4 linked regions of the Lepisosteus oculatus genome follow. The protein of the gene in region 1 interacts with the protein of each later gene in a pairwise test. Links are inferred from orthologs where the notes say so. Each region holds a gene or a part of one and is shown in the gene's direction. Other genes may lie near its edges.

Evidence for each region.
Region 2: the proteins of ccdc33 (region 1) and protein FAM124A interact in a two-hybrid assay, tested with the Homo sapiens proteins (2 studies listed by BioGRID and IntAct). The two-hybrid records come from large-scale screens. The link is inferred for Lepisosteus oculatus from reciprocal best matches to the Homo sapiens genes CCDC33 and FAM124A.
Region 3: the proteins of ccdc33 (region 1) and ppp2r3c interact in a two-hybrid assay, tested with the Homo sapiens proteins (2 studies listed by BioGRID and IntAct). The two-hybrid records come from large-scale screens. The link is inferred for Lepisosteus oculatus from reciprocal best matches to the Homo sapiens genes CCDC33 and PPP2R3C.
Region 4: the proteins of ccdc33 (region 1) and lmo2 interact in a two-hybrid assay, tested with the Homo sapiens proteins (2 studies listed by BioGRID). The two-hybrid records come from large-scale screens. The link is inferred for Lepisosteus oculatus from reciprocal best matches to the Homo sapiens genes CCDC33 and LMO2.

Annotation. Positions count from the first base shown.
Region 1 is NC_090700.1:59,238,806-59,246,645, forward strand, and holds the start of ccdc33 (coiled-coil domain-containing protein 33), read left to right. Parts: upstream 1-4,825; 5' UTR 4,826-4,926; intron 4,927-5,336; 5' UTR 5,337-5,378; coding exon 5,379-5,649; intron 5,650-7,319; coding exon 7,320-7,786; intron 7,787-7,840.
Region 2 is NC_090710.1:30,451,550-30,459,005, forward strand, and holds the start of protein FAM124A, read left to right. Parts: upstream 1-4,444; 5' UTR 4,445-4,794; coding exon 4,795-4,868; intron 4,869-4,886; exon of another isoform or gene 4,887-5,386; intron 5,387-7,456.
Region 3 is NC_090703.1:3,321,336-3,329,202, forward strand, and holds the start of ppp2r3c (serine/threonine-protein phosphatase 2A regulatory subunit B'' subunit gamma), read left to right. Parts: upstream 1-4,856; 5' UTR 4,857-4,946; coding exon 4,947-5,013; intron 5,014-5,727; coding exon 5,728-5,849; intron 5,850-7,382; coding exon 7,383-7,487; intron 7,488-7,646; coding exon 7,647-7,759; intron 7,760-7,867. Other genes in the region: prorp (mitochondrial ribonuclease P catalytic subunit), read right to left, coding at 1,995-2,127, 2,757-2,804, 3,297-4,267. UniProt on the Homo sapiens protein: May regulate MCM3AP phosphorylation through phosphatase recruitment. May act as a negative regulator of ABCB1 expression and function through the dephosphorylation of ABCB1 by TFPI2/PPP2R3C complex.
Region 4 is NC_090716.1:11,136,485-11,143,988, forward strand, and holds the start of lmo2 (rhombotin-2), read left to right. Parts: upstream 1-4,485; 5' UTR 4,486-4,630; exon of another isoform or gene 4,631-4,942; 5' UTR 4,943-5,145; coding exon 5,146-5,186; intron 5,187-7,483; coding exon 7,484-7,504. UniProt on the Homo sapiens protein: Acts with TAL1/SCL to regulate red blood cell development. Also acts with LDB1 to maintain erythroid precursors in an immature state.

The DNA of each region.
Region 1 (7,840 bases):
ACATCACCAACAACACTTTTATCTAAGCCTCAGTATCCAGAGCTTCTGCAGTAGGCAAAGGATGGCAATAAATTAATTTTGCATGCAGGATAAATTCTGTGCATTGTTGATAACTACTCTATCCTATAGCAGAGGTGAGAGAGTTAAATTCTGTAGTGCTGTCTAAATCGCAGGGGCTGACCTGTATTTCATGTTATACAAGGATTAGGGTCAAAGGTTATGGACAACAATTAATTTTTAACACACTTTCATTAGGAAACTCCTCCAAAGTAACATCAACAAGTTCATACCCAAATTAACAATAACCCCTTTGCAAAAAAGGAGTTACTATAAAAAAATGTTTTTTAGATAACTTATTACACCACTATATACTGTCTTGGCCAGTTATATTGAGCTGTAGCTATTTGTACATGGATGTGATGCATATTGGAAAAGCATAATGAATCAATACAATTTAAAGGCACTGTCTAAACATAAGTAAATAAACAGCATGGCCAAGTTAAATTAAAAAATAAACAATATCTAATTTGGTTACAGATTTCAGCATCTGCCTTAACCAATATTATGCTTCTAATTCATGAAGGCCGAGTGCCCTGTTTCAATTTTTATACAATAGATTTGAAAAGCTTTTAATTTTAAAGACCAAGTGTAGTGCTTCCATAAAGACATAGCAGTATGTGCCAGCAGGCACCCTGATCACATGACCATGAATTCATCCTGCTATGCCTGTAAACAAAATACTGTAGGGTCTAGGAGGGGTCTATTCTATGTCACAAGTCATTTTTCAATCAACATAATCAATACTCTTATAGCATTGTGAGTAAGATGGAGGCAGTTCTCCCAATTTCAAAAACCATTCTATCCCAGCTGGCCATAACAAACTTTTCATTTCCAATCGTTTGGTTTTTAAAGACATGACCTCAAGCAAATCAGGACACAATTGAGCTCAGCACAGACTTTGAATTCCTTTAATTTATGCAAAAGAAATTAGTTTGTTTTAACGACTGTGGAGCGCAACTCGCCACTGGTGTACACTATGTCTTTGCTTAACAGCAATGCGATTCTCTCTATTGCTCTAACCTTTTTCCAGCAGGGAAAGCTTTTGATCAAAATGACACCAATGCTGTGAATGCAGGAAGATTTATGTTCCCCATAATGACCTCATATCCAACCTAATCATTCAGCTCCTCCAGGGAACAGTTACATTGGCCATTAATAAAACGGGTCCCATGCTGTTTAACTAGACATCCAATTGACAAAGCAAAGCATTTAATTAAAAAAAAAAGAGATAAATATCTCTCTGCCATGATAATATTGTCCACATAACCAGCTGGTAAAATGCTGCCAACCACCGAACTCTGAAATCTAAGTTCTTGAACACTAGATAGAAACAGAACAGAGAAAAACAACCAGGTAACAAATATGTATTTAGCAATCTAAAAACTACAGACATCCACGACACACCTAAGAGTTGTTTAAAAAGTTAAGATAAAATATTTTTACTGTATACTAGACAGGTAAAAACAAAGAAAATTATGACATAAATAATGAACATAGATTACAGTTTCTACAAATAGTTTAAAAAAAACAGATGTGGTATTCCAATTCATGGATCTAACATACCATTTTCTTAACAAAAAATATACAGTAGGTAACAGCCTTAAATATTGGAAAAAAATAATTACTTTTCAAAACTCAAATGGTCACTGTAAATGACCTACTGTAATGTCTAGGTTACTGGTATACTTTGAATATGATAGCTATGGATATGACACGAATATTATACTTTGATTATGACAGACCCATCCACTATCAAAGGTTTCCGTTATCTCACTACCTTCAAAGATTTGTAAAGATTTATTTTCAATGCAAATTAGTTCTTGATAAACACGTGACCATTACATAAAAGGGTGTTAGTGTACATGAAACACCCAGTGTTTATAGAGATATGTAGAGGTCCAAAAGATATTTTACACACAAAAGCGCAACTTTACAAAACAGCACACTTCTCTGGCATAGGGAATCATGTGGTGAATCCTATGCTGAGAATCTGACTGCTTCTCTATTGTCTGTCCAGATAGAATAGTGACAGATTCCAACAAGTATGGTATGCTTCAGGTTTAAACTCACTCCCATAGATAACATCCGGCAGTAAAATACGTCTTTTTCCATCTTACAGTTCTCCATTTACCACATAAATTAGGCCTTACATATTTAGGTGTTATTTACAAAAGTCAAACGTCTTTCCCCTTGCAGAAAGCATGCAAGCACAACCCCAAATCACCATCTCCTCTGATGTACTGTAATATGCAGCAATAAAAATCCTGTTCCTCAGCCACAGAACAAAGGACTTCAGTTGTGCTCCTGATTCAGAATGTATATACATTACTTTTTCAATAAAGAGACCAGACAGTAAGCAGAGCTACTGCCTCTGATGTCTACTGTTTGATCTTCTGCAGATCCCAACAATGGGCCTTTTTATTTTTATGGTCTGAAAACTAGAGGGGAAAAATCGTCACTCGGATTTAGCATTGCACAGGTGAGCATGGAGAACTCTCCCTCACCCCGCCCCGCTCTCAAACTTTCTGAAACCTCTGCGGTAGCTTTGACTGAAGCCGACTTTGAAAACCACATCAGAGACAATCTTGCTTTCATTAAAGGGATGCTTATTATGTGACCTACAGTATGTGCTCATAAGCAATTCACAAGCTTACAGTCCCCATGTTTGTAACGGATGGGTAGTTACAGTTGCTGCCAGAAGCCGTATCTTTCTGGGAGTTGTGTGAAAGAGGGTGGCACGAAACTTGGCTACGGTTTTCCCGTTTTAAGTTTCAGTGGTACATAATTCTCTCAAGAACACGACATTACGAATGACATTTAATACCTGTTCTAACAACATTCGCTATCGAATCCATAGCGTTTTAACACCACACAGAACCGAAGTCGTTGTGATATTTAACACAAAATCACAATTTTAAGCTTTCTGCCAAGACAATGTCTGTTCGGTTCGGGTAGTACTGTATGCTCTGTGTTGACGAAACTATCGACTGCATTGTGCGTGTGTTGTTTTCAAAGACTACCGGATGAGCTAAAGTAATAATACAAAGGGCTATGTTACTAAAGTAATTATTCATAACATATCCTTAAATTACACTTGAATACATGTCAGTTACAAAAAAACAACAACACGTCTAACTCGCTTAACTAATTCTAGTAATCTCGGCATTAAATCACAGAAATGATATTAACACATAAAACGAATTCTATTAAGGGTGGTTTAATAATTTTAATTTGAATGAGAATTTTATATAAACCATGTTTGTTAACCCCCCTTGTCATGGATTTCGTTCTCGTTAGTCTCTTTATTGGCTATAAAATCTGGAGAAGTTAAAAAAATCAGACGGCTGCTTCTAAAGATTTAGTTGGCCAGGTAATTTGGAACACTCTTTACTCAATAAGCAACTTGATAATCATCGGCTTGCACTGAACCCAAGCTTAATTATGTAAGAATATAAAACAATCAAATGTAAATAGTTAAGTACAGTTATTGTTGTATAGTAATTTTAGCTAGAATTAACATTCTCTTTAAGATTGTTGGTATTAAAAAGTGTTTTAATGGAAAAATTCACCCACATTTAGACTATAAACATACTGTATAAAATCAATATCGTTAAGAAAAATTAGAAAATTAATCTGAATGATAAACATGTCTTTTTTACATGAAACTAATTTAACGGTGAACACGTGGATAAACAATTTCGTGTAGACTAATCATTGATCACGTAATAATTCACTCGCTATCAACACCTATTCTGTTTACTCGGCACATTCAGAAATGCTGTGTGCTTCCCAAACACATGCGTGCAGTTTCAGGTAAAAGGAAGGGTATGCGATTTATTTAAATCACAAATTAGTTACTTTAAAATAGCAAAGTCTTTACCTGTCATTCCCCGCTTACCGGTCATTTGTTTTTGCGCAGACAATAGTTTCTAAAGAAGCACTTTATAATTTCAAATTAACCTTCCATAATACAAACGAGTTTGGACGAAAAAAAGTAATAAAGTCCACATACGAAGCTCCCAGCATGTAGTTCATAGGTCAGAAACTTGTTTGCTAGTGATCTTCAAGTCACATTGTCAGCGCACATGATGCAATCTCAGGTGAAACTTTAAACTATGTCCACTGTCGCTGTGAGCACACAATAGCGCTAAATAACCGGATTAATTAAATAAGGTTACTTCACTGACACCTGATGAATATACATCAAGTCAAAAAAAAAAGGTGTGGCTTTTATCAGTCACAAAGGAACTGATACTCTAAAAGCACAATAGGTTAGTGTTTGATCGATATGTAATACTTTTAATTAGCTACTACCAACCAAATGGGCTGTGTAGGCCTCCTTTGAAACCTCTCTTATGTTTCAGTTTATATTAATTTTTGTAAGGTAAACCTACACTATACATGTACACCGCTGTAACCTAGAAACTCTGGCGTTTGAAACCTTAAATGTACTGTAGAAGGCTGTAGCTGATTAAGAAATGCAAAGGTGAAAACTAAAAAAACTTTGACTCCAATCGGTCTCACAGTCTCCCCTTTTGAATGTCATTGGCATTTTTCCCCTAACTGTAAGATGTAAATACAATGTGAAAACTGATGGATCATATACTGTGCATTGGCCTTTGTTCACAGTGGAAGTAGACACGACACATTGTGTATCACTGAGGTTTGTTGAAAGGAAACAGCTTCATTCAAATCACCTGCATTGTTTGCTTCCAAGACACAGTGGGATTGGCTTAGTGCTGGCTTCCTTAGCTGCAAGCATAACAAATGTCCAGGTGAAAACTTTCAAAACCTGACCTGCAGCCGATCTCACAATCTCCCCCTTTTACGCCAACCTTTTGTTCCAGTTTCAGAACCGACAGAAAGGTGAGATTCTCTGATGTCTGGTGTTTGTGTATTTCTAGAAGTAGAATGAAGTCCTGGATGATTGTTTAGCCTGGTAACCGGGGCGTGCATTGTATAATTTCAGCTTGTTTTCTCCTCTCAAAATCAATCTTTTCATTTTTTTGTCTACTTGTTTCTATTATATATTACTGGAATGTATTATAATGGCCGTTGTCAGAAATGATCACGTCTTTTACTGTTGTGTATCCTTCACAGTGATTGCTTTTGCCTTCAGATACCAGTGTGGACAAGATCCATTTTGCCAAACTAATTTATAAAGTACAGCTGTTGGCAACTGGTACAGTTACTATCTGAAATTGTGCTGTGAATACCATATCATTTTAATCTTTCTCATGGGACAAAAAGTAAAAAAGCACATGCCTTTTTTGTAGATTTTTGTTACTGCCCACAAGTCCACCCCTGGACGGGCAGCGATGCAGAGAAGTCGTCTCAAGATCGAGGAGAAGGAGCTGGACTTTGAGTTTGAGGTGGTGAATGTTCAGTTCAACGAGCTTGGCAGTTACGTGCTGAGGCTGACCGTGGAGAACCCCCTGCTGGAGGACTGTGGGACTGGCGTGCAGCTGAGGGTCAATGATGGTGACGTCCTCTACACCAGCACTGGGACCACTGATGTCATTGAGCAAGCCAGCCTGGATGAGATCTACACCTGCCTTCGCTACAAGTTTCTCTTCACCCTGCCCAAAGGTACTGCAAGCATCCACATCCTCAATCCAGGGTGATTATTACATCGTTGTGTGCATGAAAGTACAGTATGCAGCCATGTCTTAACTGATTGTCCCCTGATCCTTTTTGAATTTTTATTATGTAATATGACCTTAATTACCTTAATGGGTAAAATTACCTAATTGGTAAAAATTGTTAAATGGACAAGCTGAGACCTCTTTCCTATTCTTAAAAATATGGAGATTTTAAAGAAACCTTTCTGTAAAACCTGCTGGACTTGGGCTGTTAATGACCAGAGTTGGATCCACTACACCCCTGCTATAGTGTCAAAGAGTCCTTTTTTTTAGCCAAGTAATGTGAGTATCTTAAATGGATGAATAGGCTTGAATGCGAGAGTCGTCTTTCTACTTTTCAGCGCCAAATTAACCTGGTTGTTATATGGATATTTTTTTTGGCTGAGGCTGTGGCTTTGTGTCTAGGTGTACAGGCAGAGAACAGTGTGGTGCCACTAGGCTTATGAATGGTTTTGAAGACCTAAAACTGCTAAATGTAAACGTTTTAACTTAAGTGGCAGTGAGTTGATTGCTATGGCTGAAAAAAATAAAATCAAAATGTCCGACAATCTGCTGTATGACTGATTTAGAAATGGATAATTGTAACCTAAGAAGAATGAAATATCAGATAAAAGTACAGAATCTCTACTGGAGTGTTGTTTGCAGTTTGTTTTGAATAAATCTGGCTATGAATTGATATTCCTGATCATTTCAGCCATGCATCTTAAATCCATTAAAAAAAACTGCTGGTAAGATCTTGCTGCATTTCTCTAGAATATATCACTACTGACAAGTTCCTCTGTCTCTCACACACACCTTACAGGAGAGGTGAGAGCTCCTCTGTGTTATAACGAAAAGTTAATTAATGCATGTCACTGCTGTTTCAAGAAATTCTAATATAACACGCTTGTCTGAAATGGCTGTAATTACATGGAACACCTCTGAACATGTTCACTAACGAGCAGTGCTTTTTAAAAATAGAATAATTTTCAATATTTTTTCAAATCTGTATCCCTGTATGAAACGTTGTTTGAATTTGAACATGAGTTACCCAAAAATAAATTTGAGAAAAGATTTAGAAATATCATATTGGGGATATTTGGAAAGTTAAATGGTTAATTGGTAATAGTTAAAATATAGGGAAATGTGATAATATTATTTTTTTATTGTCCTCTGAAATCTTCATTTTTGTAATGGCAACATTTTTAAGATCAATCGTCTGGTGTAAAAAGGTGTTTCTTGCCAGAAGAAAATTGCGTTCAGAGATTTTTTGCAGTTTAATTTTTTTTTTTGCTGTCGTCTCCAAATTTGATCTTGTCATGGTTTAATGCGGGTCTTATGTAAAGAAAAAGAAATATGATTATCGCAATAAATATTTTAAAATGGTTCCCTTTTAGCTTAAAAAATTCACATCTGACTATTGCTTCATGGTTTATGAATAGCTCCAAGCCTCGAACTTGAGAAAGTGAGACACAGAAACTAGATTCACAGACCATTAACGGGCTCCGTTGACTCCTCATCCTGACCAAACAGATGCAAAAGATGTGGATCCTGATGATTTTGTCGGATGCTTGCTTTAATTCGGGAATTTGGAATTGGAATTCCAGTTTGTGTTGGTTCTTCCTTGTACATTTCCAGGTTTCTGCAAGAATGATAAAAACCACGACGTCAGGCTGAAGGTCGAGGCCTTGCGGCTCACAGGCTTGCAGCCGAGCAATGGCACCAAATCCGGCGAAGCTTTCTTCGCCATCTACCCGCGCACCAACGCGCCCCGCAGCAACCTGTACGCCCGCCGGGACGAGGAGCTGTACCAGTACAGCGGCATCATGGCCCTGCTGCGCGTCCACACCGACTACCTGGCCATGCACTGCGGGCGGCTGGCCTACGCCGTCTCCTTTCACGAGTCCAGGCCGCTGCCCGAGGGCCGGGCCAGTGCCTCCCGCATGCCCTCCATCCAGGAGGAGGACAAGGGCGGGGCGCCTTCACCGGGTCCCTCGACTCTCCAGGTGCCTCCATTAACCCTCGGGCCCTCCCAGTCCCCGTCCCCCGAAAACACCCCGCCTCAGCCCACGGAGCCTGCGCTTCCTCAGCCTCCAACTCCCCAGGTAGAGAAACGGCCCCACTTGAACCTGCTCTGAAAGTGACCAGTCCCGCTGCGG
Region 2 (7,456 bases), on another chromosome or scaffold:
AAAAACAGAATTATCAATAAAGATACAATGGTATCTACCAAAGGACTTTACAACTACACGTATCAGAGGCTTGTTAAGAACGTCCCATACAGACATCCCAAGTTAAGCATTGTAAGGTGAATACCCTTCTCAAAACACGTACTATGGAAATGATTTGCATACCACTAGTATAGTAAAATACGTCAAAAAAAAAAAGGTGCGTGTCCCTAATCGGCACAGCTCTCATCTCGTGATAGGGCGTACTTTATGACTCAAGATAAAGTATGTCTTCCTTAGGAAATGTTTGCCGCCGTATAAAGGTGTAGGGTTCACTGACAACAACATCGCATTAAGTCAGGACGTGTGGGAAATTAGGAGGAGCTATATGAGGCAATATTTTTGTAGAATACAAAAACCACTGACTTTACGATCTAAAACCCTCCTCCAATTTCGAGTTTGTTAAATACACTTACTGTATGCACGCGATAAAAAGGAAACTTGTTGGTTTGCAGAATGACACGGACGTCGGAAGACCAGTGGTGAAATTAGGTTGCTTAAAAAATCTAATTCGACAGTGTACAGAAATGTCCAAATAGCCTGAGCTTGACTTCAATCTTAAAATAAGAAAGGAAACCTGACAATGAAAGCTTCAGAACACAGCGCCAGTATTATATTTATGTTCAGTCAAGAAGAGAGGTTTTCAATTAATGTTTGCCATGCCCTTTAAATTTTTGGCATGATAGATAGATACTTTATTGATCCCGTGAGGGAAATTGCAGTGCAACAGCAGCTTAACACACACAACACAGCCACAGTGTAACGAATTATTTAATAATAGTACAATACATACAATACAATACAAGAGTTACTCAAAGTCCGGACACACAAGAACAAACTAGAACAGAACAGTACACAGAAAATCGTATCACACATATGAATATAAATATAGATGTAAATATAGATATAAATAGAAATGTATTGCACAGGTCCCTGGCATATATTGCACAAAAAATGGTTGTAAACGGGAAAAAGAAAAAGAAAGAGAACAGATGAAGCAGTAGATGTGTATATGCGTTTAGTCCAGAAACAGGTCACTGTCGATGTTGCCTCTGCCCAGACGCAAGGTGGATGCGTTGTACAGTCTTATGGCAGACGGCAAGAATGACCTCCTGTAGCGCTCCCTGTCGCACCGTGGATGAATCAGTCTATTGCTGAACGTGCTCTTCATTCCTGCAAGCCTGTCATAGAGGGGATGGGAGAAGTTGTCCATGATGGCCTCTAGTTTGGACATCGTTCTCCTCTCAGCCACTACCTCCAAGGGGTCCAGGTCAGACCCAATGACAGAGCTTGCTCTCCTGATGAGCTTGTTCAGCCTATGGTTGTCTGTCTGGACTTTTTTTTAAATTAACCAAATCATTTAAATAGGCCAGCTGCTGATGCTTGTCTAGTGATTGAAGACGCGTCTAATCATGGCTTCTGATTATAGCACTTAATTGTGCAGTATGATCTTGAATTAGACATTTTCTATCACAAATACAGTAACTTGTTTTATGTTCTAAAGTAGTAAAAAGCAATCAGTTCACCAGAGCCTTATGACAGAATGCAACACACTAACTCTAGTTTTGGATTGGCCTGCTAGAATAACTCTTCTATATAAAATACAAATGGCAAAAAAATAATGAATGTATGAAAGTAATGTACAAATACAGAGGGTCCTCATCACACGCTGGGGTTAGGGCAGTGGTGGCTGTCTGTGTTTGTAGTGACAAAGGTGTATTTGTCTGTATTTGTGGTGACAAAGGTGTGTTTCCCAGAGCAGGGTTGCACAAGACTGCTTTAGCCCTAAATGAAATACCAGAACGACACAAAGGATACAGACCTTTAATCCAAGGAACGCACCCAGCCGTCTCTTGAAAGACACCAGGGTGTTGGTTTCAACAGCGTGGCGGGGTAGCTTGTTCCACATTCCCACAACCCTTTGGCTAAAGAAATGCCTCCCGTTCTCGGGTTTAAATGAAATGCACTCCCACGCAGTTCCCACCTGTGTCCTCAGGTTTGATATTTCATTGTTCATTTGGCTCTGACATTGCCTTTGGAGGAGTTGGAAAACTCGCGTCTGGTCCCCTCACTGTCTTCTCTGTCCGGGACTCCAGACACAGTGGAATCAGCTAGAAATATGAGTTGCGTTTGTGTGAGGAGACTCATTCATCTCTAGGAGAAACGTACGCAGAACTTCGAGAGGCAATGGGGCTGAGCTCCACTTCACACCCACGCTTCAGTTAACCCCCCCACTATTTGTAAATTATGCACTAACTAAAGGGGGGGAAAAAGATTTTCCAGAAGCCTCTTGCTTCTGCATCCTGAACGGGGATTTTAATTCTTTAAATTGGTGATTAACGGGTGGGTTTAAGTTTAAAATTTAATCCAGGCCTTTGTAATATCCCATCCCTGATGCTCGATGGCCTTGGAAGTGCGGACTCTGGACAGCAGAGCAAGGAGGCAGAAACTGGCTTTACACGTGTCCGCCAAAGATACGGGAACATTCACATTGTCGTTCATGCGCAGAGGGACGAATTTACCATAAACGTCCTGCACTGACTGTTGTCTTGGAAAAACAGTTACTTCCAAATCATCGCCCTTGCCTGCGCTCAGTGAGCAACGTGATGTTAATAGATTTTAAATTAACAAATAGAACGGGAATCTTAAATGCATTAGGATTAGTACAAGTACCTAGGATAACCAGAAGATGGCAGCCGAATCACAAGTAAGTGCATGGTATTTACCAATCAGACTCCTGCCTAGCAACACCAGTGAAAAATCCCCATAGAACAGACTCATTAGCCTCACAGGAGTCAGACAGTAGCTACTGTACTGTACATGTTCAGGTGAGTTCACATTTCTGCACCACAAACACTTAAAAAACATGGCAAACTGTGTAAGCGCGCACTTTTCAAATCTGAAATGTCTGGATGGGTTCAGCAATCAAACGTCTCAACAAAAGAGGCGTTCGTGCGTATTAATATGGGGACTGAAGTCTATTTTTTAAAATTACTTTTCTGAATGATGGACAGTCATCGCTGGTGGGTTTCCAATGTGAGCTGTGTAATATTCTTGATTATTATTATTATTTTTATCTCCCTTTAATTTCCTTAAGAATAATAAACAAGAAAGTTAAATATAAAATTCTACGTTAGAATTATAAATGTTGTTAACTTCAAAAATCGTTATGAATCCACAAACATTCATGTTCCTGGACTGCGAAGTATTTTGTGTGTGGGTTTTGAACAAGTAGAGGAGATGATAACTAAGATTAAGAAATAAGGACAGGATTAAAGAGGATAAACAATATGAAACCGATTACTTCAGGAGTCATACCAGATTTGGGAAGAGTTCATGCCAAACAGAGGATTAAAAAAATAAAATGTTAAAAAAAGATATGATATTCAGAAAACACTGTCAGAATGAATGGAGATAAACAGTCGCCAATTTCCATTCCTTCTAAAGTAAGAGACAACATTAAAGACATTTCCATTTCAAACTAATTATATGAACGACAGCATAACAAAGAATCTGGCAAAGCAATATGTAACTACTGTATGTTTTTAAGTCATTTTTACTTGTAACATAACACTCTATTCCAAATTTATCAAGTATTGTATGACACTGTTTTAGTACATGACCGCATTTAGAATATTTTGATCAGCTCTGGTCTCCAGGATACAGAGAAAGTTACTGGTGCATTACAATCAGATCACAGGAGAGTAACCAGGTACATGGTCCATGAGCTCAAAGGACTGTCCTACACCGGCAAGATTAAAGAACGGAAACTTTTCCAGCTCAGGATCTAGCTACTGAGTCCTGTTGTTGGATTTGATACTCTTACTTCTTTCAAGAATAGGCGTGCTGAGATCCTCTGATCAATTAACATCTGAAGGTCAACTGTTCCAGTTGGTCCAAAAGACTCTCTCTCATTTACAGACGTTTACATTCTCACGCACAACAGGACGAATCCTGTTATCAACTGTTTCACACTGCTGGGACAGTGGATTACAGCTTTACATCTGTAAGGCGATTCCATGCTAAATACCTGGAGTGAATACCTTTGTAAATAAAGATGATGGTTCATGAATGCGGGAACAGCATTTATTTGAAAGTTTTTTTTTTTACTAATTAATAAAGGTTTACAAAAACAACATGTTCAGCTACAGGAAGGCATTTTATTGGCACTTGGAAAATGTACTTTACGCAGACTGTGATACTGTGATACTTGGATACTAATTATTTGCACTATTAAGTAGTTTAGAAGTTTTTTGAAAATAAAATACCAACAAACTCTACAGTATAGCTCCCAGGGACCTTCGTAATCAAAAACAATCACAATGATTTTTTTCCCCCGTTTCTCCTAATATCAGTGCATCCCCTAGCTCAAATCTGTTGATAGCTTAGGCAGGGCATGAACCCTCCCGCTCCACGGATACACGATACGATGCGTAAAGACCAAAACGGAGCTTTCAAGAAGGCGGAGGCGATATGTGCAATTTGTTCAGACGAGGCGACCGTGCAGCCTCGCTTGTTCAAGGTCGGCGCTGCTTCTGAAGGCAGCAGCCGGCTGTGCGTGACAGAGGCGTCGCCTCTCCGCAGTGACGCAGCGCACCCCAGCCGAAGCGCAGCCTGTTGAGCTGCCGGGAGAGGGCTAAGCTCCGAGATCCTGCTCCTGTCAGCTTCGGGACGGAAAACTTCTTCTTCTTCTTTTTTTAAACTCCAAAAGGACATCTCGGCACGCGTCAGGCTGAAGGGAAGAGCGCGAGTGAAATCATGTCTTGGTGCTCCGAGATAGAGAAGAACTCCACCGAGGATGATTGTGTGGACTCGGGAGCTGAGACCGGAGGGTGAGTCGAGACTAGCGGGGTACAGCCGACTAGCGGACTACGAGGGCGAAAATGTTCTGCGCGCTGGCTGCAGCCTTTTTTCTCTTCTCTCTCTGTCGCAATCACTTGGACCGATACTGGAAAAGACCGGCATAACAGAGCAGCCGAGTTTAGTGTACAGATCCTTCTGTCTCCGAAACCACGTTAAGGTATTTTGACAGCGCACAGGCTGACGTAAAGTTCCATCTCGAAATTGTTTATGAGCACCAGAGAACTTTAATAACTTTTTAAAAGCCGCACTTCATTAGCTGAAGGATAACCTCATCCACCTGCTGTGCGCAGTCACAAAGCAACAAACATCTGGCTAAAGCCATGCTCCATGTCGGATGATAACGTTATGATGTATTCGCATAGATGCGCGGTTTTGTGGAAATACATACGACGCAGAAGGATTTAACGTTCTGACATGTATTTAATGTCCGTTTGCAGCTTTGGTTACTAAGCAAAGATGATTGGTTCTGTTCCTGGTGTACTGCTAGGTATGTGGCTGTTAGAGCAGTTTCTGAATGTGCTGGCGAAGGTGGTTCTGTGTGTGTTAGTAAGTGTAGAGCAGGGGTGGCCAGCCTTGGCTCTTGGTTTCATTTTGAGCCTCCCAATGAATTCATTACTGAATTGATTCTTAATTGCTTAATTAATCCTGATGCTGAAGAGCACTCAGATAATACAGTAGGATTGTCTTTAGGATAGACTCGCAATGCAGTGGAATTGAAGAGCCAAGGTAGACCACCCTCTGTTTTAGAGACTAGCAGTCTGTAGGATGTTGATGTGCTGTGATTACGTCCTTGATTCTTCGTGAGTGTAATGAAGAGGGAAATGACAGCTGTGTTAATTTTAGGCATGCACTCCTGGTACCATGCAGTTCGGTGTGATTCACAGCCCTGTAGTTTCATGTGACCACCTGTCAAGCACACATTATTGATGTACACTTGAAGTGTACTTCAAGTGGAAATCTCAACTCTATAAACTTTACAAAGCTAGTGAAAACATTTTTTTTTCAGTACAACTCTTCTCAAATATTTATTTTCCATCATAGATGCATATGTTACCATAGGTTGGAAAGACACAGGGTTAGGTTAAGATTGATTCTTAAAATCATAATAACACTTCATAATAACTATGTCTTCAGCATGGATATTCTTTTAAGAGCACTTTACTCATTCCTGTGTCACTGCCTGTGTTAAACTGTTGAAGATACCTACTATCAACCCAATGAGGAGAGTGAGCTGAAAGGCATCCTGTTATTGGTAAACATTCTTCCCTTTTTATGTTTCTCTTTATTTTCAGTCTCATAGTGAGGTTATTTTGCTTTCTATTATTTTATCATGGCTTAAGCAATAATAAAGCTGATATGGCAAGTGAAAAGCTCATTGTCAAAGTCTGTGACTGGTTGACAGAGATGCCTCTCCAGATGGCCAGTGACAGCACACATCCTCTTTAAAAAAAATAAAACACACACCCCGATCATTTTGGTACCCGCTGTGCCAACGTCATTATGCAGATTTGCTGGATAATCCTTTGAGAAACAATGGTTTTTCTCATTAGTGTCAGAAGGAGCATGTTTGTTTTTCTGTTCTATTCTGCCAATAGAATGCTTTGTTTTTTACTTTCACACGATATCAGGTTGTTTATTGGCTTTCTCTCATCTGTGCAAAATTTACTGCTTGAAATATTTGCTGATGTTTAGCTGTGTATTCTAGCATGTATAAGGTCATCTAAAATGTTCCTTTTCCCTGAGATAAATGGATGATAGAGAAATTCTGTATAGTAAACAGTTTTCTAAAGATTCTAAGGTTTATTTAATCAAAACCTTAACCTGTAAGTGTCATGAATTAGCCCAACAGTTATTAAGTATCCATAGTATTAGTTTTTCAGGCCTTTTTTTGTTAGGTTTGTATTCATTAAAAGCACATGACAAATTTTGGCATTATTGCGTTTTCTTATGTAGAGAGTTGATAGAATATAAAATACAATGAAGGGGAAAACAGAGGCTGTTTTTAATCTGGGTTCAGGTGATGTACCTCTTTATGTGCATTTTATTAGTGGGATCATAAAAATTCAAGACCAAATTGCGTAGGTTACTGCCGTGGGTGACTCATAACAATGTTTTTAGTTGTCCATTCCAATAAGGGAAAGATATAATAGTTAAGATAGAAGAACTGTGTGTTGGGGCACCTGTTGATGATCTAAAAATTAAATGTGTCTGAGTATTTTACGTCCACCAGGAACACGTTGTGTTCCCCGAGATTCTGCAGCATTCTGGAGTGCATGAGTATGATTTGGCACAACACTGGAATCTTCTAAACATTTGGGCCTGAAGTTCAAAGGCAGAACATTAATGAGATGTGCCAGCTGACTGCGCTGCGCATTGCACCTTGTGAGCTGGACAGGCACTCAGTGTAAATTGGAAGCTTAGGACAAACATTGTTTTGCTAATCCAATCAGAAGAGAGTCTCTGGACAGACTCCTCTCTGCCTTTCCCAAATGGGTTTGATGAGGACTTAGAACATTTTGTAATGCAGGATAATAGGATGTTAGCCAGCTTATTCATG
Region 3 (7,867 bases), on another chromosome or scaffold:
GAGAATCCTACACATTGGGGAAGTGAAAATGTTTATTTTTCAAATAAAAGTAGCACTTGAGGTGTCCTGGGTGAGCTCGGGGAGAGAAGAACTTTTGCAAACGTTTTGAGAACTCTGTGATGCAGTTCTGAACATTAATGAAAATTGATTAATAATAATTCTAGACTAATGAAGACTTTGCAGACACCATAAGCGCTTTAGCTGCATGGTGGAAAGCATTCTGCAAAGCACACGTGGAGAACTGGACTTTAGAAACAAACTTCTCAATAATGGAACTTCAGGACATTTGGAGGACAACTGCAGCTACGAACTCTTTTTACACACAAGAGCAGCCACCAGCCCATCGCATGCCAGAAGGACACAGTGTAATAAAGGCCACTGCTAAGCTCAGAAGTGACTTGGAAAACAACCACCATCATTAACAAAGGGGCCGCCAACAGTGCATCAACACCCTGAGTTTCCCCTTTAACTGAAATATTTGAAATATGTCGACTTCAGCTCTGCTTGGCCCCCTGAAGAAAAAGCAGGCAAACACACACACACACAAAATATGTGTGGTTTGGTTTGAAGCCGAGAAACAGAACCTGGATTTCCCCCTTGTTATTCTGAATTCTCAATGCAACTCTGTCGCCACCTTGAGGAATCAAGCCACATAGGCAAAAGTGAACAGTTTTTAAACAACTTTATACGGACCGGAACACACTGACTTAAACTAAGTAAAAACAGAAGTTTCTGTTAGTAGAAACTTAATAAGACAGAGAACAAATGTTTCTACTCACTGCTGTACACAGGTGACTATATAAAAGAAAAAAACAAGTTGCAAGGAAATACTTTTTTCAAACTACGGGGTGTGGTGACCCACAGTCTCTCAGAAGAAAAGCACACAAGGCAGGACTCCGCCCAGGGACGAGAAACAGCTTTTGTAAGAGTTTTATTCAGAGCATTCCAGCCTTTTGTATTCAGAGCTGGGGAGGCACCTTGTTCTTGCAGAACAGAAATAAGTTGAACAAAGTGACCAGGACGGGTGGCACATTTATCGGCGCATTCTTGGACTCAATAACATGTCTGACGGAGAGACATATTATAACTCTTGCACATAAAATTTTAGATGACCCCCTCACATCCACTCTTTTTAGAATAGACTCTCCTCCCGTCTGGGAGGAGGTACCAGGTCCTCTGTATAAAGACTAAGAGAGCATCTAATTCCTTTGTACCTGAAAGCACTGACATTTTGAAAATGGAAGAAACAGTTGAACTTGAACTTTATTGCCATATGTAACCTGTCCGTGTACTGGTACAATGGAATTCTTACTGACAGAAAGTCTCTCGACTGTTAAAACAAGTGTTAAAGTTGCAGGTAGGGATCTAATTATTATTGTTGTTGTTGTTTTCAGACTGTGTACATGCTAATCATCTGTTTATTAATCTTAAGGTTCTTGAAGAGTTCTGACTGAGAGATGTTGTTGAATGTTGTTTTGTATTATTGTGTGGTACTGTGGTTGCATTATTGTCATATATGTTGTATAACTATGGGCTCTTGACACGCATGACAAATTCCTTGCAAATTAATGTAAATGACAAATGTAAATTCCTTGAAAATAAAGGTTAATTCATAGCCTGTGTCTGGGAGAGGTGAGGAGCACTCACCCCAGTTTAGCAGCAAGCAAAGAACTGCCTGTACGACAGCGTCACAAAAGTAAAAATGGCAGCTGGCAAAGCCATGACGATGTAAAAGACGCAGGTGACCTCACATTGGCCCTTATCACAAAAACCCCCGCACTATGGGAGACAATGAACCTACTTCCTGTTGTGGCTGCCCTTTCTTCTCTAGAATGAAATGAATCATGTTTCTGAAGTACATGAGCTATAATCTAGGAAAAAGATCCAGCAATTTTACACACACACAAAATTGTTCTTCCAACCGCAAGACACAAAAATGAAAAAAGGTAAAAACCCCAAGGGTGCAGCAGGACCATGAAGGGGGCGGCCCTCACCTGTGGCGTGGTCTTGGTGAAGACGTCCCGGCCCCGGATGACATCGCTCATCACGCGGTCCTTCAGCTGCCTGTACTCCTCCTCGCTCAGCTGGATGGACTCCAGCCGGGCCCTGCAGCTCCGGCACACGCTGCTGGACATGGGTGGACGCAGGGAAAGCCAAGGGAATGCACTGGCACGAACCGCCCACTAACACCGAGCAGCCAGGCTTAAACGCGAGTCACCGAAAATACCTGGGAGCTCAGCTAACTTTCACCACTGGGGTTTGTGCCACAATGTCATAAAGATACTACACAATGCGTAGGCACTGCAGTATCAAAGTGTCTTTCTTACTAAGCACTCACAGTCTACACTATCTACACATTTTTTCCACTGGGTAGCCGTTAGAGTATCTTGAGTGGTTTTGAACACTGAGGTGCTTGAGAAAGATCTTACTGTCTGATCCCCTGGACTGACCAGAAGCAGCATGTTCTGACTACACGTGACACATGGAACCAGCCATGACTAGCCACGTTCACGGTGGGCCTCGTGACTTCATGCCGCTCATTGTAACCACCAGCTGGCAAGAACAGGGTGAGGTGCTACTGTATTTCCTGTCAAGGGAATGATGGTGAAGCCACACTTTCCAAACCACACTGAGGGCATTAGAGAGATATTCGCAGGTACAGACACTGAATAATAAGCTTCTACAACACCGCAGGCCTCTGGTAACACAAGCAGGGATGACTTCACCAGACACAATAAATGTGCACAATCCCTTACCTGGTCTCAACAGTGGCCCAACTTCCTTCCCACATGTTACCTGGGAGACTTAAAAGAAAAACGCTTTATGAGACTTTAAGCCTTAATTTCCTAACAAAGCAGCACCACGAAGCGAAACCTGCAACAGGCTGCTGGCTCAAGACACAACAGCAATGACTTAATTTGGACTCCATTAACAAATGAAGGTGGAACTGCAAGTTGAAGTTAATTTTCTATTATCAGACAGAGAGGTGGCGACCAGCACTGGCCTTTAAACATCCACAGTCTTGCAGGTTTCAATAACTTTACTTCATCATTGATGACAATGCTAAAATTATAATATTAACTTATTATAAAATCTAGCAGCCGTCTCTGATTCAGAGTATGACTTTTGACACAAACCTCCATTTTCTTACAACTGTGTCACTGAATCTTGTGTTTTTACCTAACAATATTTCTAACTAGAAGCTCACTCTTCATTCATATAATGTGTTTTAATGTCTCTGCCAACAAAGACGGTGAAAAAGGATGAATTTATTCAGAGCCACAGCTGTGGCCTACCTTTCAAACCAGGCCCTGATGCTCTTTGCCAGTGCCTCTCCAGGATAGATCTGGTTGTCTCTCATGTGAAGCAGGATGGACTGAAGTTTGCTTTCATTCCCTTGGCCTGAGAAGCCACTATCGAACAATGTCTGCCATGTTTCCTGGTTGGGACTAAGCCCCGTTCCAACCATTTCTTCATATAATTCCCAGGCAGTTGTGCTCTCGCCATGCTGGACAGCCCCCCAGATCGCATCGCCGTAGTTGCGAGGGCTGGGGGTGACGACTTTCTTCGTGCTTTCCAGCAGCAGGAGACACTCCCGCCAGCGCTCAGTCCTGCTGAAGCCTTTAATGAACAGGCTGTAGGCCCCAGTATCCAAGGTCTTGAACCTGTGCCTCATGATGTCATACAAGTCGAAGACCTCTGCTTGGTGGTTTCCATGGACACATAGAGTCAGGTACCTCAGAAGAAGTTCATAGCTCACAGTCCCCGTTTCCGTGGCTACGTACCCCAGAAGAGACTGCGCCACATCAATGGCGCTGCCTGCTGCCAGCATCTTCTCCATCATCTTCACCTCGAAGCGCTGAGGGGCCCCGGCACTCTCCTTCCGATTCTTCCACTCCGCTGCCGTGAGCGGGCGGCTAGGAATGTCATTTTCTTTCGGCCTCCTGGGCTCCTCTGGCCCCTCAGCAAGGTGTTTTCCCTCTTTTCGCTTAAGGAGCTCAGCTGTTCTCTTTGCTGTCCCCGCTTCAAACACTGAGCTGGGTGGCTTTTCCCTGCTGGGAAAGTCTTTCCATTTGGTGCCCGAGTTCCTGTAGCTCCCAGGGAACTTATTCCTCTCTCGTGTGGACGAGCAGCGCACACGAGGAGCACCTGTGTCCACAGGTGATCGCACACTCGGGTGCAGAAACACCAAAGGTCTCGAATGACTGAGGAGTGTGCAAATACTTCTAGCATTAGTCCTTGTGTAGGAAAAGAGTAGAGACCCCATCTTTAATCTTGGGAAAGTTACTTTGCGAATGCGTGGCTCAAGCCTACAAAAAACACCGCGGTCTACAGCTTTTGACAGGGAACAGGGCAAAGTGGCTTTATTACTTTATAACTGCACCAAGCCAGGAAAGTCAGAATCCGTGACTCTCATTTCTGGGTGTAAGAAGCAGACGCACTCCCCAGTCAGATTCAAGATCTTTAATAAAACAGGCGTTTGAAAACAGATCACTTAAGTGTTTGTGGTGATGCAGCAGCAGGTTACTCGAAAGCTTCAACACATCGAATCTTCTGATTTTAAGAGTTCAACAATGTCAAGCGACTGAATGCTATTTACGCTTCCCTAATGGTCCAGGAAGATCGCTGTTTCATCGATTAATCGCAAAAAAAAAGAGAGAGTAACTCACATTACTTTACAAGCCATCGTTTACTCAACCACTCTGTACGAAAAATGAAAACGTTAAACCAAAGCACACTTTCCGACACACGCTGGATGACGTCATAAACAAGTGACGCGCCCTCCTGGGGTGAAAGGTCGATATTGCCCCGCCCCTTCACGCCGTGTGAACCAATCAGAAACAACTACAGTGCTTTGGCAACAAATCGTAAATGAAAGCAGACGGGAACTTGTTCTGAGAGATTTCGAGTTGTTCTGCTTAGTTATAATTGATTTTAAAGTTTCAATGTCGAGAGATAAAGCAATAGAATGGAAAGAAATTCTAAAGAGGAGGTTGGCAACCTCAAAAAAAGGTGAGTGAATAAAGTGTGCCTTTGTTTGACCTTTTTAAACCATCACTGGGCGATATCTCTATGCCTTATAAATGGATTTTGTTTGACAATTTCATCAAACTGTATTTTAATGTTAAAGGAAGTTAGACAATCGCAATCGCAAAGTTAAAATTTACAGAAGTTATTTAGCTAATTAACATTATGTTGTCAATTACGGTATTTTTTACCGTTGTAAATGTTATGTTGTGTAAAATCTGTTCAAGGCCATTGGATAAAACTTAAAGTTGCTTCGATTATCGATTCATAAAGTTTTGCTTCTCCGTTGTCTCTCAACTCAAATTTGCATAGTAATTTTTGTTATTAATATGCAAGTTATATTCACAACGAGTCGTAGTGCACGACTGTGAAGCGCAGAAACATGACTGTGCAATTGAAACTATAACACGCCGATTGATGTTTATTAGGGTTTCTTCAGGATCCTGGAGATGAGTACGGCACTCTCTGTTCATTTAAAGGAGATTGTGAGGTTACAGTTCTTTGTTTAAGAAATGTGTACTACAAATATTTTAACTATTCGGACAAGCGTCTTTAAATACTTCAAGCCAACGTCAATCCATCCCCAATGTAAAAATTAAAATAAGCTTTCTGGCACTAGTTGTAATATTTCAGGTGAAAATACTGTAGCATTAAAACTTTTTTATTTTTCACATTTCGTCTCTTGTGTTTTCTGCCCAGATGAAATGACGGAGCAGGAGAAGAAAGACGAAGAGATGACGTTGTTCACTAAGCACTACACAGAGTGGGGCTGGGGCAGGCGGGATCGCTCCTATAGGAATATACCGCGCTTTTACTACCGGGTGAGTGCGAGGGCAGCAGGCCGGCTGCTTGCAGTCTGATGGACCTGTGAGAGCTCTGTAACCTCTGAGCTCTTTCCTTGTGTGTCGAGTATAACACTCGCTTGTGGTGCAAACTTCAGGCCATTACTTGTTTGATGATTTTTGAATATCTTAGCTATCCCAGCATCGCTGTTGCCTTCTCAGTTCTTTTAAAGTAAAGTAAAATTATATATATTTTTTAAGGACAAAGAACATTAGAAAAGGTTACAAATGAGAGGAACCTCTTGGGCTTTCTAGCCCTTTTGGTAGTTAATAGGGGTGTGACCCCTGTGTCCCTGCCAAATTTCCTCCCGGGCCTTTATCAGTCATGGCCTCCCAGTAATCCCCATCTCTGAACTGGCTTCATCCCTCTGCTCTCCTCCCCACTGAGAGCTGGTGTGTGGGGAGAGTACTGGATGATGCTCCAGTACTTTCCCCACTGAGAGCTGGTGTGTGGGGAGAGTACTGGATGATGCTCCAGTACTTTCCCCACTGAGAGCTGGTGTGTGGGGAGAGTACTGGAGCATCATCCAGGTGGGGCTGCACACTGGTGGGGATGGAGTGGATCCCCATGACCTGTAAAGAGTGTCCAGAAAAGTGCTCTGTAAGTGTAAGGAATTAATTATTAATAGTTTATTCATCCAAAAAAAACCTTCCAGCCATTTCTCGAAAGAAGCCATTGAGTATTAGCCTTGACAACAACCTTGATTTGTTAGTGTATTACAGACTCCCACAGCCCTTTGCATAAAGACATACCATGCCTCCTGTTCGCCGTTTTACAAGCGCAGGGGGGCAGTAATACTCAAGACCATATTTTTATGGTCTTGGTCTTGTCATGGACGTTTGCACTTGGCCTTGTCACGGTTTTGGACAAGGATGGGATTTCATTTTTTCCCGAGACCGGTTGAGACCAGTTAAAAAAACACAGAACACATGTACATCTGTTGTAGCCTATTATTTTGCTGCCTCTCAAAAACATATTTCTGCCACCAGATGAACATTATACGCATCCAATAATAACCAATGATTGTCCGTTGTCCGTGATCAAAGGCGCCAGTTTTTTTTAAGGATGTTGTCTATACAGTAGACTACACATCATTCTGCCGAAAATGTCATCTACATTGTCGATACTTCAGTTCGCATGTGAAGCACAAAGAGTTCGTCTGCAAAAGGACACTGGAAAAAAAAACATACTGCAGAGTGCAAAGTTTTCAATACCTCAATTTAATGAATTATTTTTGATATGTGAGCTGATTGCTAGTTTTGTTACTGTTTAGAATGTTTGTGCTAACACTTAACGTTTGGCACATTCATGATGATGGCATCATATAGCTATTTGCGAACTGGTCTTGAGTTAGACACACATTTATTTAGGTCTTGGTCTTGTCTTTGACTCACCCCCACTAATCTCTTCCCGGACCCGGTCTCGGGCCGGACTCGGACTAGGTGGTCTTGCCTACAACACTTCGGATATGCACTCGGTAAGAGATCTGCGTTTTAATCTGTTTCCTGCAGTTGCCAGCTGAAGACGAGGTTTTGCTGCAGAAATTACGAGAGGAATCCAGAGCTGTGTTTTTGCAGCGGAAAAGCAGGGAGCTTCTGGACAACGAGGAGCTGCAGGTAGTTAATAAAAGTGCACCTGTTCCTAGCTTATTACACGGTTTTCTGTATATTTGAAGTCATTTCTGTGTAATATGTCTTCTCGTGTGCTATTCCCAGAGCACTGCTGAGTTGAATAAAGTCACGAATTGCGAGTCTGTTCCTCCCTTGTTCTCCCAGAACCTGTGGTTTTTGCTGGACAAACACCAGACGCCGCCTTCGATAGGGGAGGAGGCCATGATCAACTACAACGGCTTCCTCAAAGTCGCTGAAAAGGCAGGAGCCAAGTGCAAGTAAGTGGGAACGGACAACAATGTAGCCTACTGTGTACGTGATCTGAAACCCTGATCTCATCATTTTTGCAAGAAACAGCAAATCTCCAATAGGTTTTATAAGTCTTA
Region 4 (7,504 bases), on another chromosome or scaffold:
CGTCCTATCAGAGCTCAGCAGGATGGCGATGCGCAACAGGCAGGAAGTCGGAACAGCAAACAGCAGTGCCCCCTGCTAGTTCGGTCTTCGCTCACTTCCTGTTTATCCTGGTTCATCCAGTCAATTCCCTGGAAAGTGGATAGAAATAATGTCCTGGATCTGTCCTCTGCAGCTGAGCATTTCAGCGTCTCCCTGCTTCTTAATCCTTTCCCACATCTAGGTTAAACTCCAAGTAGCTAGAAGCGGGAAGGCTAAGGAATAACATATATATATATAATCTCATAGTTTCAAAATCCTGTTATAGAACTGATTCAACAATTAGAAAAAAATGTTGGGGTGGGTCCAGTTGTATGTCTGACATGGGCAGGGACTGGAACATTGTTGATATGTACCTGACTCTTACAGTTTGTTTTGAATAATTTTAATGTAACACAACCACAGCTTTTAGTATTTCTGTGGCAATAGAAGAACTAGTAGGGATATTGATATCATGTTCAGAATCCTCTTTACGTATGTCAGTAGGCCACTGTCTCTTTTTGCCTATTAACTGAAGGTGTTACCCTAAAAGGAACATTAATTCCTAGTTCAGAAATACCGAACAACTGAAAAGCATCGCTGACTCGGGTGTTGTAGACGAAATCTGAAATCAAGTCAATATACTTGCTCTCAGTGCCAAAAGAAAGGGGAAGGAAGGACAACAAGTGTTGAATCATTTACTTTGAGTCAGGTACTGTAGTTCTGTTTCCAGGGTGATACAGACAAGCTGTGTCAGCAACAACCGTTGTGGACAGATTTGTTTGGTCAATTCTGCAATAGGCCTTTCGGCTCTCCATTACCATGCAATCTCAGCTGTGTCTTCTAACGGAATTGCTCAATCTGTTTTTAATTCACCCATATTTTTATTCATTTTCTGTTTACATATTATGCATCAGGTCAATTATCGGGATAATTGTAAGGGGGGAAAGCTTGTGGAATATAATTATACAATGATACCTGTTACAGACATATACACAGATTTGTCCTGCTGGAATTGTACACGTTGTTTAAAGTTTGGCTCCAGCATGGAACCGACATGGTAATTGAGATTGTTCGGAAATCATAACTAAAGGCATCTGTAGGTAATAGTAAACTCTTTCATTCCTGTACTGACAGGGTTTATAACTGGTCAATCACAAAAATGGTCAAGAAAATCTCCTTTGTGTTGAAAACGGACACTTCCGTTACTCACTTACTCAAAATTACTCAAAAGTCTTGTTGGCAAGTAACACACAATGCACACGGAAACAACTATAAAAGGGTAGGAACTGCTCGATTAAAAATCTTTTAAAATTGTTAACAAGTCACAGGTGTTCAATGAGTGAGAGCATATACAATAGGTTAAGGCATTTTGAAACAATAGCATTTGCTCTCTAAGTTGAAGTAATTAATGAAGAATATTGTTTTCTCACTCATTTATTATTACTGCCATTTTTATACAGACTCTGTAGAGACTGACAAACACCAGGTCTCCATTTGGGCTAAAACTTGGACACAGAATTGGCATTATTCACATGTACTGAGCCTAAGAAGAAATGTATTACATAACAATGCAAAGAATGAGGGAAATGACAGTGGTCTTTTTTGTGGCAGGTGCTTTGACAGTTTCATTCATTATTCTGATCAACATTTGTCATCTGCAGGGTTGATCACAACTGATCACCAGGGGGTTTGCTGTGGAAGTCACAGGCTAGTAGTGTGTGTGGCCAAGTCTGGAAGCTGTAGGTCTGCCATGCATTCTTTACACCAGGTTGTAGATATTGTTTTGTGGGTTTCTGACCTATTCTCCTCATGGAGCTTGCTCAAGCATGTGTCTGTTTGCTGGCTTCTGAGTCCTAGATACTGCATATCATACCAGCTGGGAAGTCTGGGAAGTCTGGCATTATTGTAACATTCTCGTCACACAACAAAGCTATTGATTACACAAGCAGCATGAGGCCGTGCACGATCCTGCTGGAATGTTATCACTTCAAGATGAGCTTGCAGGAAGAGCAGCAAGAGAAGTCTGGGCAGCTTAGAAATGGCTGAAACCCAGAAGGCAAGTGGCAGTGCTCAGCTTCAGCCCATATGCCAACTTACCAACGGCACAAAGGCATTGTTCTTTTCAATACTGGTTCCTTTCTGTCTTCTTATTTCTTAACTTACTTCATGTCCTTCATGTCCAATAGGTTAGGTTGTCTTATCAGCTCCCTCAACCCCGAGGTTATTATCTAACAGTCATCTGAGTCCGTCACAAGTGATCAGCTAATCACGATGACACCAAAAACATATAAAATATACCCCAAATCTGTACCTCATTTTTATTTAAAAAAACACATGCATCGAGTAATATTTTTCTTTTATAGTTTAGTATTTATAGTCAATCATGTTCATCATATTTTTCGATAATAAAATAAATAGAAACATATACAAGCAAATAAGTTTGAGCAAATACTGTACGCAGACAAACTGTTGTTGATATTACCACCACGCAGACCAGTTCCATAAGCAGAGATTTGTAACTTGCTTTTGTGAGGGACTGATAAAGGAACTCCTGTAAATAATAACTACACTAAATCTCTAGCTCACTGTGACAGATGGAGGAAATGAAATCTCCCTAGCAGAAGAAAAAGGGCAAGTGACCAAAAGTGACACTGACATCCTCCTCTCATTCACTCAGATGTAAATCATAGTAGCACCAGTCTGTGCAAAATGAATTTGAGTGATTGGCACCAGGTCATGTTTTTATGTGCTAGTTAGCCAAATAAAAAAAACCAGCAGTGTAACTCCAAGTGATGTCTTTCCAGCATCCAAATCTTTTAGGGAGCCCTGGTCCCTGCTCAGTATATCTCCTTCACAGAGCTCTGGGAGTTACAGTATCTCAGAGCCCAGTGTCTCTGCAGGCCCCTGGCCTCCTTAGAATCAGGCAGCAGAGCAGCCCTGGCAGCAGATAAGAGGAACGCTTTTAACAGCTGCAGCAGGGTGGGGTTCAGAATAACAAGTGCAGAGGGGGTTAACCCATTGTTCGTGTGCATTCTCCTGAGGGGAGAGTTCAAGCACACGCAGAGCCTCGTCTGCCTGCTTTAGCTAAATTTAGTTGACCATCTGGCCACCCTGTTTGTCCCATGGGTGAGTCTACCCTCAGAGAGCTGACGTTGAAATGCCTAGTTGGATGGATGGGGCCAGGAGAAACAGTGTTTTGTTGTGCAAAACGCTCTCTACAGTATTTTAAATACGGCCTCAACATCCTTTCTGTTAACTAGGGTATTAAACCTTAAAAAATGTTAAATTCACTTGTGCAACCTCCCCTTTACTATCAGAGCTATTACTAAATACTCATGAGGGAATTCTCGCAACGTAAAGGCAGTGAAAACATAGAAAAATATTGTTCCCAATATGTCTTTTCTTTTAAAACTATTAGACAACATAAAAGTTGTGGCCTAATAGTTGTTGAACTCTTCCTGAATCATGACTGGGGTGCAGCTGAGAAGTGATTTTTCTTTTTTTTTTAAATACGCCTTATTGCCTCCATAAGGGGAGAAGCATTTTAAACAATAATTGAATTGAACACCTGATGAAAATACGGGATTCAGATGCAGCCTCGTGTAAAACTGCAATTGCACACAGATTTTTAAGCCACCTCAAACAGCAAAAACACTAGTCCTTGTATTGCAGAATATCACCTTATTAGCTCTGAATATTGGCTCTGAAAGAGCTTAATTTCAGCACCCTCCTTCTGTGCTGTTCCCCATTTGAAAGCCCCCACGGTTATTTTGCAATTCTTTACTTTTAATGGGTTTAATTGCTGCCTTCGTCTACTCAGAACTCAGCGAGTCCCTTCTATGAACTTAACTACTTCTGCTCAGGAAGCACCCAGCAGGTGAACTTCGTTACATCTGAGAATGTACAGATTTTGTTAGAAAGGTTTACTTTTCATTTTCAAGAAGAATAAGGCAATGGAACAAGTGATTTTAAGATTACGAGCATCGCCTTTCCATTTCAATACAAGCCAACCATCCAGTGATAATCGGCTTCTTCAGTGAGAATCTCTGTATCTAGGTATCAGGGGAAAGGAGAATGAAAAATATTTTGTCCCACACTCTCTGACACACACAGACATATATGTGGTTTTTTTTTGTACATTGTGAAATAGACAATTAAAGAGTTTGCAGGTCTTGAGAGACAGAAAAATGTTATAATAAGTAGATGCTTATTATGTAGATGAAATAAGTGCTCGCGAGGAGGGGGTATCACCGTTTAGTGATGCGGTGCCTTTCACGACTTTACCCTCTTGGTAAAATGTCATTTTACGCCCCTTTAAGCCAAACCGTCTAGCTAAAAACAAGCTCTTTCCGCAGTGAAATAAAAAACCCTCACGACTCCGCAGACTCTCAACTGGGCAGCCCCGGGCTGTTTGCATTACGCTTTTTCACATCCCCAAATGAGCTGCCCCTGTCTCTTTAAAACACGTTTCCTTCGATTGTGAAGGAGTCGTGAGCAGGAAAGAGGAAACGAAACCAGAAACCAAGGGGCAGAGCTATGTAAAAATACCTACGGTACAGAGAGCTGCCGTACAAAAGCCGTCCCCGCGACTAACCGCAGATTAAGGGAGACGGTAAGGGATGACAGAGGGAATAAGAAATATTTTTAAGCAGCCATTGATATTCACTGCTATCTTCACTGTTAATGCTGAAGAATACTTGAGCCGTAAGCACAAGGACAACAGTATAGCAAATGGGATGTTATGATCTCCAGGAAATAATAATAATAATAATTACTAATATCGAAAATTGTAAATTATGTTTAAGGATCCCGTCTGCGGTCTTACATGTATGTTTTAATATATAAATTGTAGGAAGGAACTGTACAGCTCAAGTAAACGCGATTTCCACGGTCTTTGCCTTTGGTGCTGTTTTTTTTTTTTTAGAAAATAGAATAAGATGAACAGGTGCAGTTCTTGCCGAAAAATCATATTGTCATAAGAAATATGCGAGAGGAGTCGGAAGTGGGGATATAAAGCATACGTGCCGCCGGATTAAGGAGCAGGAGCCTCTATAAAAGCCGAAGTTCCCGACGCAGTAGTAAAAGGTGTTTGATGCCATCGTCATTGCCCGCAAGGAACATCTTGGAATGTCATCTGCTATTGAAAGGAAAAGCTTGGAGGCGTCAGAGTAAGTGCAATGGTGATGCCTTTGAAACTAATGACTTGCAGTGTTTCTTTTCACGCATGTGCACTTTTTGTTTTTAAGGAAAGAATTTACCCCAAAACAACATCCAAACTATCTGTCACTTTCATACCTGTGACCACCAGGGTTTTAGAGCTTTTTTTTCCCATTAATCCGAAATAATTTAAGACTGAACTTTATATATCTAACAAAGACAGAGGCCATGTTGAGTAAAATCTCTTGTGATCTTAAACATGCAACTCTAGATCTAAAAAGTAATTAGAATTTAGAAGCAATGTCACTTAAGATTAGTTTCACTTGTGGGATTGAGTCAGAGGCAAATAAAGCTTGATGTTTAAGTCTTCTTGGCAGTAATGAAATGACTGTGGCGATAGTTTCTTTTACAGTAGGCCTTGCATTCTGTGAACTGTTTGCTTTCGTAAGCCGAGTTTCAGAACCAGGCGCCAGATGTAATTAAACTATCACATTTTCAACAGGTATATGAATTGTAAATAGCCTTTTAAGAAAGGGGCAATGCAAAACAGCATAATGACGTAGATTAAAATGCACTGACAATTAGTTTGTGTAAAGAAATTACAAGAGCAGTGTTTCGATAATGTATACTAGGTGGTTTAAAAAAAAGACTATTGAGGTTTTCTGTTCTATTTGAGATGTAGATTTTCACTAGCTCTCTTATCACTACTGCGATCCCAGTGTCAGAAGACATTAATGTAATAATCACTACTAGCACTAGCTCATTCTTTAGTTAAGTACTCAGAATAGGATAATGCATATTAAGTGACAATACTCATTCAATCCTTACTAACAAAAGATGTGTAGAACCCATGCCCTTTGAGTTGATAGACAGCAATCTGTAAGTGTGCAAATTCAGGTAGTAAAGTTTGGGTTACTCCACATTTTTATGCATTAATTGTATTTTGTTTTGACTATATGATAACTTTTGATAAGTTTCTTTTAATAGATTCTAGGTAACACACCAATACAGAGATGTGCTGTACTGGGGAAATCTAAACCATGGAAGGCCAAATATATACCTCAGATAAAAAAGAATGTTACTTTTGCACTTTTATTGTATATCGTATACACAATACATTAGGTATATATTAAGTAAATAACTGTAGCTATTCTTTCTATTATTTAAACAAAGAAATGTCATAACCTAATAAATATACAGTACATCCTTGCTGCTTTTAAACAGATGATGCAGGAGCAAAATATATTTTAAGAAAAATGTGTGTGAAATGAGGGTCAATTGTATTCCCCACTCACCTCTTATTTTTACACAAAACCTTGTTTTTCCTTCTCCCTGTGCCCTGTGACAGATATATGGGCATACACTGCGCATATAGTGTTTTTTTATTTCGTGGGAAGCTGCTCCCTCTGTTGGGGAATGATGGTAATGCATAATCTACAGCAAATGTCACCAGAAAGGTCACCAGTGAGAGAGATGTGAGGAAATTATACTATTATAGAGTGCCTAGTAAAAATCAGTGTGAATATGATGAACACATGCTAGCTCCACAAAGGCAGGCAAGGTATTGAAGTCAGGATCATGGCTGCATCATCTGATTGGATCTGTAAAGTTCACAACAATGCCTGTATGCCATCATCTAACCTCAAATCGGCCTGCTTGCCAGACCTCTGGGTGACGACATTTTTTGACATGAAGAAAACTTCACAACATTTCAACATTCTGATACTCATAATGTTTAAAAATGCTTAGTTTCTAAAAGTCACTTCTTCAAGCGCAGTCAAAATTGTTTCAGTGTATATGTAGACTGTATATGTAGTTGCTAGCAGCCAAATCCTAGCAGCCAGCCTAGCGTACCTGATTTTCAGATTTCTGTTTCCAGGATTATTTTACAAAGAGTACTGATTACATGTACAAATTAAAGATTATTTTTTGAAACTATAGCACAATTACAATACCCCTTACACCCGTACTCATTTCAATAGTAGTGTGTTTTAGCGGCTGTGCAGATTCTTTGTCTGAAGATCCACCTTTTTGTCATTATATTTGCACATTTCTTTTGGCTTCTCAGCTAGCTTCCTCTGTTTGACAGCTAATTGAAAAAAAGTGTCCAAACTGGGAAGCAAACACAACCAAAACCTCCAGACGGGGGCACAAGAAACCACCTAGATGAATTGTTACCCAGGTGGTTTCTAAAAGGTTTTTCACCGCAGTGCAGTTGCTGTGTCTGTTTGCCCCCTGTTCTTGGCGATGTGTGTGGCAATCGGTTGCTGGCTCTCTTGCTCACGAACGGACCCTGCTCCCTCCTCAGAGAGCCAGTGGATGAGGTCCT